Canis lupus familiaris: one gene and its partners. The protein of the gene in region 3 purifies or fractionates together with the protein of the main gene of each other region. This does not show direct contact. Links are inferred from orthologs where the notes say so. Each region holds a gene or a part of one and is shown on either strand. Other genes may lie near its edges.

Region 1 (3,745 bases), on a different chromosome or scaffold from region 3:
AACTGCCTCGGCCTACCTCCCGTATTAGATCGTACTTTGGCTGGCTACTCACCATCTTCAAGGTCAAAGTTTCTGGAAAATCAACAAAGTGCTCTGTTGAAATTAAGTATACTTACTGGTTTGTATACCTTCTTATGTATGATTTAATTATCTGTCTCACTGTTTGCAATGCTTGAAAAAGATTTGTTATATCATGGGCAAATCTAAATATTTGAATAATAATAATAAAGCAGCTAACACTTTGGTATTACCATGTATCAGGAACTGTTCCAAGCACTTTTAATCCTCAAACAATATTATGAAATAGATGTTATTACAATCATTTTATAGTTGAGAAAACTAAATCACGAAGAATTTAAGCAACATGCCTAAGGTCAAACAGCTACTAACTGGTAGACCTGGGTTTTGAAACCTGGCCACTTGGCTCTGACATTCATAACCATAACCATTACACTATACCGCCTCTTGCACAAACTGCTTCAAAATATTACTGTTAAAAATAAACCAAAGAATTAATCATTCTTATGATGAGCACTCCACTGCTTCTCCTTAAAGCTGACACACACAAAAGTTCATAAACATGTCAAAACGAAAAAAACCCTCTCACAGAAATATAACTGGCTTGTGCTTAGGGACTGAAAGTGAACCAGGTTACATATAGAACTGAAAATATGTAGGTTTTTTTTTTAAAAGTAAACAAACTGTATATGTCCCTATTTTAATTTTGCTATTTCTCATTTCTTGCAAAATAAATGAAGTTTGTGGAGAAAAAATGGTCCTTTAAAAATAAAGCAAGCTACTTAGAATATTGTTACCTTTCTGTTGTTAAACACCTATTTAGATGTAGGCCATTTTTGCCACCAAAAACTGTCCTCTATATGATGGGGCTCTTGGACAGGGTGCTTTCAAATTCAACTTGATAAATCATTTAAAGGCTTAGAAGCAAAGGCCTGACACAGAAATGCTGGTGAGTTGAATCAAGAAATTCTGAAGTGTGCCACCTCATTCTCCAAAGAATGTTAAAATCCTCACGAGTTTCTGGAACAGATTCTCATTTGTAGATTGCCACGATGGGCAAGAGATTGTACAATCTTTACAGCGTGCAGTTTGGAGAGGAGGGGAAGAAGCTATTGGCTGTTGAGCTTGAAAAATTGGGTACAGCTACTTTAAGTTCATAGGATGGATTTAATAAAGAAAATGAAAGCTTCTGAGATTACTTCCTTGGTCCCACTTCCTCTAACTGGAACCCCCTTCAAATTCCTGCCGCAATTCCTAGCGCCCGATGCCCTGCCACGGACGCCTTGCCCCAGGTCCACCCACGGCGCTCTCCCCTGCTCCCCGTGGAGCGCCAATTACTCTGCAGCTCAAAGCGGCTCGTCTCCTGCAGGCTGTCCCATGGCCACGCGCGAAAGAGCACCCGAGTAAGGGGGAGGGGGCGTTCACGCAGCCCCTGGACGCGAGCCCCCGCGGCCGGCCGGCCGGCACTTCCCCGGCCTCCCGCGGGCCCCGCCGAGCCCGCGCACGGCCGCCGGCGGGCCAGGCCACACACCTGCCGGCCCGGGAAGGGCCAGTCCCGGGCAGAGGTGTTGCCCGACGCGGCGGCTCAGCGCCCCGCTCATTGGCCGAGTATCAGGCCCTCCCCCTCCCCGGCGGCGTCCAGAGGAAACCCGGAGGGGATCCTCCCGAGGCCCTTCACCCCGAGGAGCCAGTCCCGCGGCGGCCCCAACTCCTCGGGGCTGGCGGCTGAGGCCCGGGGCCTGGGGAGGAGCCCAGGGGCAGAAGAGGAGGCCGCAGCTGGCGCCGGTGGCCTGAGGGGTGCGGGCCGGAGGCCTGAGCAGCGCGGGGCCTTCCGTAGGATGACTCCGCTGACAGGTCTGTGACAGGCCTCCCGGGGAGGGAGGCGCATGCAGGGTCCTTGGCTCTGCAGCAGGGCCTCGGTGCCAGGCCTAAGGGCCAGATTTACCTCAGGGTAGCCGCCGCCGCTTCTCCCTCTCACGGGCGCTGCAGGCCGCCATTATCGGGCAGCTCGCGCCTCAGCCGCCGCGGCCTCCAGTCAGAGACCGGCGCGCGCCCCCGTGGTGCGCGCGGACACACCCCCTTACGCCGTGCGGCCCCGCCCCCCTCCGGCTTTCCGTAGCGCGAGCCGGGACGCCGAGCGCCGTCCCTATTGGGCGCGCGCCCCGCGCTCCGCCGGCCTCCTCCCTCTCCTGTGGCTCGCGGGAGCCGGGAGTCGCCGAAGGTGTGCGCGCCCCGGAACGCACCACTAGTGCCCCTCCCTGCAGGGGTGGCCGGGCCCGGAACGGGGAGGCCGCTGCCCGCCGGGGCTCGGTCACCGTCCAGCCGCAGCGAGCGCGCACGGCCCGCGGCCCCGGGGGACGGTCTGCGGCAGCGGGTCCGGGCCTGGGGGTGCGCGCGCCCGGCGCGCCTCCCCGCTGCCTCCCCGCCCCCCTTCCCACCTACCGAGCTGCGGGCAGGTGTGCGGGGGTCGCTGGGGCGGAACGCCTGGTGCATCTTCTTGGGTTCGGGCCTGGGGTTCCTGCGGGCCGCGGAGCTGTTCGGCTGGCCCGCGGGGAGGCGCGGCCCGAGCTGGGAGGCCTGGCGTCCGCCCCGCCGGGAGGGAGGCTGCACCTTTTGTCAGAGTCACTGAGCCATGTTTGCGGACGGTGTAGTTGCCCAGGCGGCGGCGGCGCGGGACTGGGTGCGATCATCCGGGAGGACGCCGTCCCCTGCCCCGCCGGCGCGGTGGTATCTCCCTTAAAGAAGCCGGCGCCTCATTGTTCCCGGGCCGCGGCCGCGGGGAGTCGGGGGCGCCCTGCCCGGCGCGGGGCGGGAGGGACGACGGCGCCCGCACCTGGCCCTGCCGGGCGGCGGCCCCCGCGGGGAGTCGGGATCCAGCCGGCGCGCGGCGACGGGCCGCGGTATGGGGCGGCCGGGGGCCGGGGTGGGCCGCGGAGACAGCGGTTCTCTCGCGGCCCGGCGGACAGCGGCCCCTCAGACCCCGGCACGCAGTCGCCTGACAGCCGGCCCGAGACTGTCGGTGGCTCAGAGACTCGGACCAGCCCAGTGTTCAGTCAGTCACGCGGCCCAGTACGCGTCCGCCTGAAGCGTCCGTCCCTTCCTCACTACTGAGTTCTGCACCTGCTGTTTGTCAGTAGAGTGGTGGTTCCTCTCCGGTGCGGTGCGGCGTTAGGCTCCACGTGCGGAGATTCCCTGTCGGTGCTCTCAAGATCAGCCACTTACCCCTTTTATTTGCTGTCCTCTATTTATGGACCTTGTCCAGAGAGTCTGGGACTGGGTTAGGTCTTTCAATTAGCTTTTCTAATCCTGACCAAATCCCACAGGGTAGGCTTCATTACTAACCCTGTTTTACAGGTGAAGGACACAGATGCTGCCTTATTTGACCAAAAGTTGTGTAGTTTGGGGCGTGTGTGTGTGTGTGTGTGTGTGTGTGTTCCGGTGTACCTGCCTTGAATACCCACTCTCCCGGTGTAATTACCCCGCTAAAAAACCCAACAACACCCAGCTCTGTCATCTATTAAGACTTTTGTCCTGAGTATCATAGATCAGTCTCCATCAGCTGTCTGCTGGGGTATTGATGCCAGCCAAGGCTTAGTTTCTGCCCTTCAAAGTAGAGGGAAACTATGGAAGGCCTTAATGCTTGTGTGGGTAATTGATCAGAATCAGGAGAGTGGTATCTCCTTTGGTTAGAAGAGCTTTTTTTTTTTTTTTTTTTTTTTTTTTTTTT
Region 2 (3,745 bases), on a different chromosome or scaffold from region 3:
GCTCTGAAAAATTGCTAAGCAAACTCCACTTCCCTTACAAGCTGATTAACCTCGCCAACTTCTATCTGTTTAACCTCTAATCCTTAGTTTCTCCGTTTATAGAAAGAGGAGAGGATTTACTTTTAAAGTTATTACCTAAAGTCACTCTGTAAGACATCTAGGACATAGCTGGGTCTCAGATTAGTAACCTTTCTGTTGAGGAAGTCTTCTAAGACCTTTCTAGCTCACTGGCCTTCTCCTCTCTTTAGAGAACCTTTGGCTACTTACAAGTCTGAACAAAACAGGTCAACACTGAGCACTCAAGATGAACTCTTGCCCTAAACGCAGCGAAAACTCAGAAATTAGGATTAGCCCTCCCATGACTGCAAAGCTACCTTGCTTCCCTGAGCCCCATCTTCCCTATAAACATGCTAGCCAGGCAGCCTGGGATGGGGGGGGGGGGGGGGGGGGGGGGGTGTTAGAAAAAGATTAAGTATGTAAGGCAGAGGAAAAGAAAAAGATGAAAAAGATGTTACATGTTATGTGACAGCTATAGGCCCACCTGGGGGATTATTATTCAGCAGGACCCAGAGGATTTAGCCAGGAAACCCGCCAGTTTGGTTGACTGCCTTGGGATGGAATGGGCCGTTGGGGGTGGGGGTGTGTGTCTCAGAGGAAAACAGAAGAGTAGGAAGCAAGAGTTTGGAGGTGGAGCTGAAGGGTGTCAGGACATTTGGGACCAGACACGGAGGGGGTGTGGGTGGGTTCGGTAAAGTTCTTTTTTGTTTGCTTTGGGAGGGAAAGAGAAGAGGCCCTAGAGAGGGGGGCTCTGAAGTTCTTCCCACCAACTCAGCCCCGTCCTCTTCACTCCCCCTGTGGAATCTCAAAGTGCTGCAAGTTTAATAGGTTTAAGTTTACTGAGCGCTTAACTAAAAGCACGGTGAGCACTTCCATGAGCTTTTTTTTTTGTTTTTTGTTTTTTTTTTAACGAGAATAGCACCTCCAGTCAGTGCCAGGGGCTCATCCGGGGTGCTGAGGTGCAAGGGGAGCCTAAGCGCCTGGGCCCCGGGGAGGAGGGCGTGTCTGGGCCCAGGCTGACAAGACCCGGGCCGGCCCCGGCATCCAGAGCGGCGGGTCCAGGCCCCGTGAGGGCGGGCCGGCCGCCTCCTACCTTTGAGCGAGGTCTCCACCAGGCGCAGGTAAAGCTGCGAGCTCTTGTTGCCGTGGCTCATGCGCTGGGCGAGCCCGTTGCGCTGCAGGACGCACTCCTCAAACTGCACGACGTTCTGGTGGCGCCGCTTGAGGCTGGTCAGGGCCCAGAACTCGGCCAGCGCCAGCTCCACGTTCTCGGGGGCGTCGCAGCGGATCTTCTTGACCGCCACCCGGGCCCCGCTGCGCCCGGCCACTGCCTCGTAAACCACGCCGTAGCTGCCGCGCCCGATCTCCGCCAACAGGCTGTACCGCGGCCGCGCCGACCCGCCGCCGCTCTCTGGCCGCCGCCGCGCCAGGTAGGCCTCGCCCGGGGCCTCGGCCGCCGCCGGATCCATGGCCTGGGCCGCCGCCGGCCTCAGCTTCGCGCTGGGCGCCCGCGGCACTGGGCTTCGCCTTTTCCGCTCGGGGCTTTGTGTACCTCTGCGGGCGCCGTCCTCCTCCCCCGTTTCCATGGCTGCGGGCGGCGGGGGGAGCAGCAACGGCGCTGCCCGGGTCCCCCCTGCCTCATCCCTCCGTCCGGCCACTGGACGCGGAGGAGCGGGACCTTGGATTGTGACCTGCGGGCGAAAGAGTCGGTTAACCAACTAGGCCGAAGCGGGAAGGCAAGGAGCGTAGGCCGCAGGGCGTCCCACCTCCGCCTCCTCCGGCCGCCGCGGCCCCTTTAAGACGGAAGCCGCCGCCGCTGACTGAACGGGGGGAAGGGAGGGGAAAGCGGGAAGGGCGACACCACTAGGCTGTGGCTCAGAGGGGGAACAGGAAAGAATAGCAACCCCCGCCCCGCCTTCTCAGCCAGTTTGTCGCCTGAGACTAGGAAAAACTAGGACCAGCAGTTTTTACGACTTAAGAAAATTGCCTTAAGAGCCGTTCTGACTGCGGAACTCTTTTTCCCCGCCTCGTCCCCTCCGGGATCACCCTCCCCGCATCCCGCCTTGGGTTCTCCCGGGTGTAAACAGTCCATTGAATTAAGCCGGAGCGGAGCCCGGCGGAACGACCCAAGTCCCCGAGGGCGGCGGGTGGAGGAGGTTGGCTCAGAAGTTCCGCGTCCCTGAACCCGCCAACCTGGGGACCCAGCGGCCCTCCCCCAGCGCCCGCGGGGACGGAGGTGGGTGCAGCCTCGGCGCTGGCTCGGACTCCGCAGACTGCGCCCTTACCTGGCCGGCGCCCCTCCACTTCCGGGCGGCCCGCTTCCCCCCTGGCGCCCTGGGCCGGGGATGGTCCGCTCCAGGCCAGGGCTGCCTCGCGTACGGAGCGGCGCGGGAGGCGGCGGCCCGGGCCGGGTGTGCCTGGGAGCCCGCGGCGGCGCGGGTGGCGGCGGCGGCGCCCGCGGGGGAGAAGCGGGTGTCCGGGCTCCCGCGGCTCTCCACGTGCTCGCGCCGGCTGAGCCCTTTACATAACCTGTTTATATAAGCTGCGCCTCCCGCCCGCACTCGGGCCAGCGGGGGCTCCTGGTGGCCCATCCCCCGGGAGGCCGGCCGCGCGCCGCGCCGCCTGGGTCCTGCCAAGGTCGACGGAGCAGCCGCAGCCGGGCGCACCGGGCACGCCGCGCCGGGGCCCAATCACAGGCGAGAACACCCAGCCCACGAAAAATAGGCGCCAAACTCCCGGGACCCGCTGCGCCCCCCTCCGAGGCTCTGCGGCCGCCTGCCCCCTGCAGCCTCCTCCCTCTCCGCCTTCGCTGCTTGAAGAGGGGCTGCGCGCAGTAGGCTCCTAATAAATACTCATTGTTGATTGGCTTGGCGGTTTGATTGATTCATAGGCAGTGCCTGGGAACCTCCCGGACTGGATTGGAGTCCACACGCTGCCGCCCAGGAGCCCGTTGATTCGGGGCAAATCATCGTCAGGTTCTGTGCCTCGGTTTTCTGTTCTGCAAAATGGGTGATTGGACCTTAACCTCCCAGCGCTGACAGAGCCAAATGAAATACATGTAATTTGTGTGTAAATACATATATTAAGAGTGACTAAGTATATATGAGTACACATAGTAAGTGGCTAATTGGGTGCGAGGCTGAAAGTGCTGTTTTGTTCACTGCTTTGTACTCCAGTGGCCTAGTAGGTGCCTGTGATTTTTAAACTGAATCTGTTGAGTATTTATTGGCTTTCTATAATGTGCTAGGCACTGTTCTAAGTCGCTGGGGAAAGAGCAATGAACCAGACAATCTTTACCTTCAATGAGGGTCTATACCCCTGAAGGAGACCAGTGATATGGTGACCTTGTGCAAGTTAATTAACTTTCATGTGTCTTTACTTTCCATCTGTAAGATGGTGAAGAACAGTGTTGGAGGCCCTGTGCTTATACAGTTAAAACACTGAGAACAGGACAAGGTCTTGCACACACTAAGTGTTAGATACTATTAACTAAGCACATAGAATAATTTTTGACATGGATAAGTATGATGGAGAAAAAGAATGAAAAAGTGCTTTGGGTTTGGGACAGGTCACTTCTGATAGTATGAAGGTCATTCATTGAAAGGTGGTAACTTTGGGGGGGGGTAAAATTTAAAATTTACATGTAAGTTACAAGGATAGTAAGGAATTCTCATGTACTTTTTTTTTT
Region 3 (3,745 bases):
CTGCTTCTCCCTCTGCCTCTCTCTCTCTCTCTCTGTGTGTGTGTGTGTGTGTGTGTGTCTGTCATGAATAAATAAATAAAATCTTTAAAAAAAGAAAAAAAAACAGAAGAGTATGGATTTTGTATTATAATAATCTTATGAAGAAACCTCTAGACAGAATCTCAAACATAAGAATAGTTAGATAAATTTGGGGAAGAGCAAACTTCTCCAATTCTTAATTTCTTAACAGTGGAAAAAGAATAACATTACTAGCTCAAATGAAATGCCTGAGACATTATATTGAATATTATAAAACATACCAATCCTATTCAGTTTTTCCATACAATCCTATTTGGAATTTCTATACACCTACAAGTCCACAGAGATTATTAAGGTCTATACCACTAGAGCTTTTACTTTCTTTCAACTCCTACTGAGAAGAATATGAAAAGAGCACAGGTACTGTATGAACGTAGAATTAAAACAATTTGGGAGAGTTTTTTAAGACAAAATCTACACACAATCCTTACTCAGCTATCTGTAAACCAAATTTTATTAAAAACATTAATGTTTAAAAAAAATTAATGCTTTATAAACTACCCAAAAAGGTCATTAAAGTAGAGATTAAAACCTTCGCAAATCAAATAATTTATTCTACATTCTTTTAGTCACATATTTGGCCCTATTCTTTAAACAAATAGGCTCAGCAAGTATCCAATATGCCCTCATCTCCACTTCCCACCCACTCTTCTTTTGCTCCTGGAAGACAAGTATGAGGTTCAATTCAATCCTAAAAGACTGCTTCACCTAAGAGCTACTTTTGCCTTGACTTTCTTTATGACCTTGGGGGGAATCTACCAAAAGACAATTATAATGATGTTGTTTATCACTGAAATTTAATCCTAATATGCTAACATTAGTAAAGTCATCTAAACTAAACCTAGAAAAGCGAAAAAAACCTTTGAGCTATAAACATTGACTGATATGTAACATAAGCCACATTTAAAAAATTTAGCTAGTTAAGGGGGAAAAATACGAAGGCCTCAAATTCAACAATATTGAAAAACAAATTCTGAAAAACACCAACTGACTCTACTTTTCTCTATGGACAAATGGTTTGCAATATAAGAAAAAAGGTGGGGGGGGGGGGCGGAATGAAACTAGCCTTAACTACCGGTTCCTTGCTTTTGTAAGGATTACAGGTGGACAACAAACGAAGAATTTAAAACTTGGCAAAGAATGGGGAAACTGTATGTAAAGAAATCTACAATCTGAAAATTACTAAGATAAATCTATCTTTTAAGTACTAATTTGTATATCCATATTGGGCAGTAATCATGGTACCGCTTTATTAGCGCTAGAAAGATAAATCCTTGCCTAGGAGGAACATTTACTAAGTACATTTCATTTCAAGATCTTAGGGCAGTTTACGAGCAGTATCTCTTTAGGCTTCCCTAAGGTACTCTAAAGTGCTTAACATCATTCACACATCCAGCCACCACTAGGGTGAGAAGTAAATAAACACGATTTACTTATGCAATTATTTACCACAGAATTCTAGTCAAGAATGAAAAAGTAAACATGCACATAGTCATTTAATACCCAAGGAAAGCGGCGACTACTACGGCCGATAAGATTCACCCTTAATTGACCACTACAGAAACCACAGGCCTTCCACATGGGCTGTCCTTTACTACCACTCCTGATTCGAAAAAGTAACAATGTCAAGTCAACATTTCAACAGTACAGAAGATAAACAGAACTTGATGAAATATCTAATTCCAGATCCTCGAAAGATGTTTATAAAAACTGAGATAGAGCAACGCCCCCCTAAAAGCACCCTACTAGAAAGAATGAAATATCGAAAACATCAGGTGGGCCAAGGTTAGAAAAGCTGATCTAACCCAACTACCCAGAGGGACCACAGGGTTTGGGACTAGGAACGTGAGATCGGGGTGGGGGTGGGTAGCAAAGTGAAATCTAACCCCAGAAATCACAACACAGGCCGCAGCCCGGGAGCTGAAGCTGGCGGGAAGTGAGCTCCCTTTCTGTTCCCAGGGGAAAGTCCAGAGAAGAGCGGCTCCACACCGCGCACTTACAGGGCGCCAATGGTGCATGCCTACCAAGGCGCCGAGCCGCTGGAGAACCCGGTTGGGAAGGGGAGGAGACCCCGGCAGACGGCCCTGGAAGAGGAGGACTAAGGTTGGAAGCAGCGGCAGTGTCTGGACGAGGGGGATTACCTAACTGTGACGACAGAGAAGTATCCTCAGGCTCCGGCGATGGTCCCGACTGCGCAATGTGTGGTGTCTTTCCCGCTTAGCCCGCAGCAGCAACAGAACCAGCTCCTTCAGCCAGTCGCCATTTCCCGCCTACCGACCTGCTGCACCGCACGGACAGAGACCCGGATGGAAAGCGGCCTCTCCGCGCAGGCGCCTTGGCTTCCTCCTCCCCCTCCCGCCACAATTCCGCGAGGTGGGAGGGAAGGAATGCGGGAGGCTTCAGCGGCAAAAAAAAAAAAAAAAACCCAAACCAAACCAAAACAGAAAACAAAAAACAAAAAGCCCGCACAAAAACAAAAACAAACAAACAAACAAAAAAACAACTTTTAGTTCCGTAAAGGGCCTTGGAGTTCCTGCCGCCAGAAGAAACTCACAAACCCGATTCTTGACAAAAATTGAACGCAGACCCTTAGGACCGAATGGAGGAACAAGGACAAAACCTATGAGGCTACACCAGGGCCCGGGGGATATTTGTACTTTAGGGGCCTCCGTAGCTGGCTGTGTAGTGATTGCAGGAGGAGTAGGGAGTAAAGCGTTGGGAGTGAAGAGGCGGGGATCCGAAGGACGGTTTTTCCTCCCGCTGCTAACGGAACTGCTTAGGCAGGGCTGGGAGGGGGAGCGCGCCCTCGCCCGGGAGGCGGGGCTTAGGAACGCGGCGCTCGCCCTGGCCGCTGGGGTTTAGCAACCCGGGCGCGCCAGGTGGGTGGGGCCAAGCGGGACAGGGTGGGACTAACGCCTTGGCGCGCTGGAGGAGGTCGTGTGCAGGGAGCGCTGCCGGAGGCCGTGGTGAGACGAATCCTTCCTTCTTTCCAGGGATCCGGGTGGCCGTTGAAGGTCCTCTTTCCAGCGCTCTGCCTAGAGAGCATAGCAGTCGCTTGTGGATCTGCCATGCACACCCACGCCGTTCGACTCCACGCGATGTCGGCGGTGGTCCTTCCGAGAAGCCAGATCGTTCAGACAACTGGGGTCCTACCTGCATTACTGAGTCTATCTAAGGACCGACCGTCAGCCTCACGGGGTGGAAATGTGTCAATCCAAGCGCCCAGCCCTAGTGGAATATCAGAAAACCGAGTGTAGTGGTTGGAAGAGCATCATCTCTTTGCTAAAACTCTTGGGCCATTCACGTTATTCAATCAAGAAACATTTACTGAAAAAAACACAGGGTGTGAGGACCATACTAGATGCGAGGGATACAAGGCAGACGTGGACCCTGCCTTCCCAGAGTTCATGGTCTATTGAAGACAAACAAGTAAACAATTTAAATACAGCTAAAATGACCACAAGGAGTTCTTGACAGGCGTACAACTGAGTGAGGGTTTGAGATGGCTTTCATGAGATGATGGCGTGAAGAATCGATGTTAGAAGGGAAGTGTCTAGGTAAAGGAAACGACAGATGGAAAAATCCAAAAATGAAATTGCACTGAGCAATTAGGGAAGTAGTTCTGTGCACCAGGGATACAGGAGTTGAGGGGAAGATAGTGGAGAGA

What was found.
Region 1: the proteins of CTDSPL2 (region 3) and PDIK1L purify together in Homo sapiens (affinity purification with mass spectrometry; 4 studies listed by BioGRID and IntAct, counting the BioPlex papers as one, with this or other methods). This does not show direct contact. The link is inferred for Canis lupus familiaris from reciprocal best matches to the Homo sapiens genes CTDSPL2 and PDIK1L.
Region 2: the proteins of CTDSPL2 (region 3) and STK35 purify together in Homo sapiens (affinity purification with mass spectrometry; 3 studies listed by BioGRID and IntAct, counting the BioPlex papers as one, with this or other methods). This does not show direct contact. The link is inferred for Canis lupus familiaris from reciprocal best matches to the Homo sapiens genes CTDSPL2 and STK35.

The regions. Positions count from the first base shown.
Region 1 is NC_049223.1:73,256,816-73,260,560, forward strand, and holds the start of PDIK1L (serine/threonine-protein kinase PDIK1L), read right to left. Parts: upstream 2,708-3,745; 5' UTR 2,461-2,707; intron 2,103-2,460; exon of another isoform or gene 1,964-2,102; intron 1,873-1,963; exon of another isoform or gene 1,679-1,872; intron 73-1,678; 5' UTR 56-72; coding exon 1-55.
Region 2 is NC_049245.1:19,408,039-19,411,783, forward strand, and holds the start of STK35 (serine/threonine-protein kinase 35), read right to left. Parts: upstream 2,664-3,745; 5' UTR 2,649-2,663; coding exon 2,343-2,648; intron 2,294-2,342; exon of another isoform or gene 1,749-2,293; coding exon 1,151-1,748; exon of another isoform or gene 974-1,150; intron 920-973; exon of another isoform or gene 727-919; intron 1-726.
Region 3 is NC_049251.1:11,394,140-11,397,884, reverse strand, and holds the start of CTDSPL2 (CTD small phosphatase-like protein 2), read right to left. Parts: upstream 2,433-3,745; 5' UTR 2,225-2,432; exon of another isoform or gene 2,220-2,224; intron 2,210-2,219; exon of another isoform or gene 2,079-2,209; intron 1-2,078. UniProt on the Homo sapiens protein: Probable phosphatase.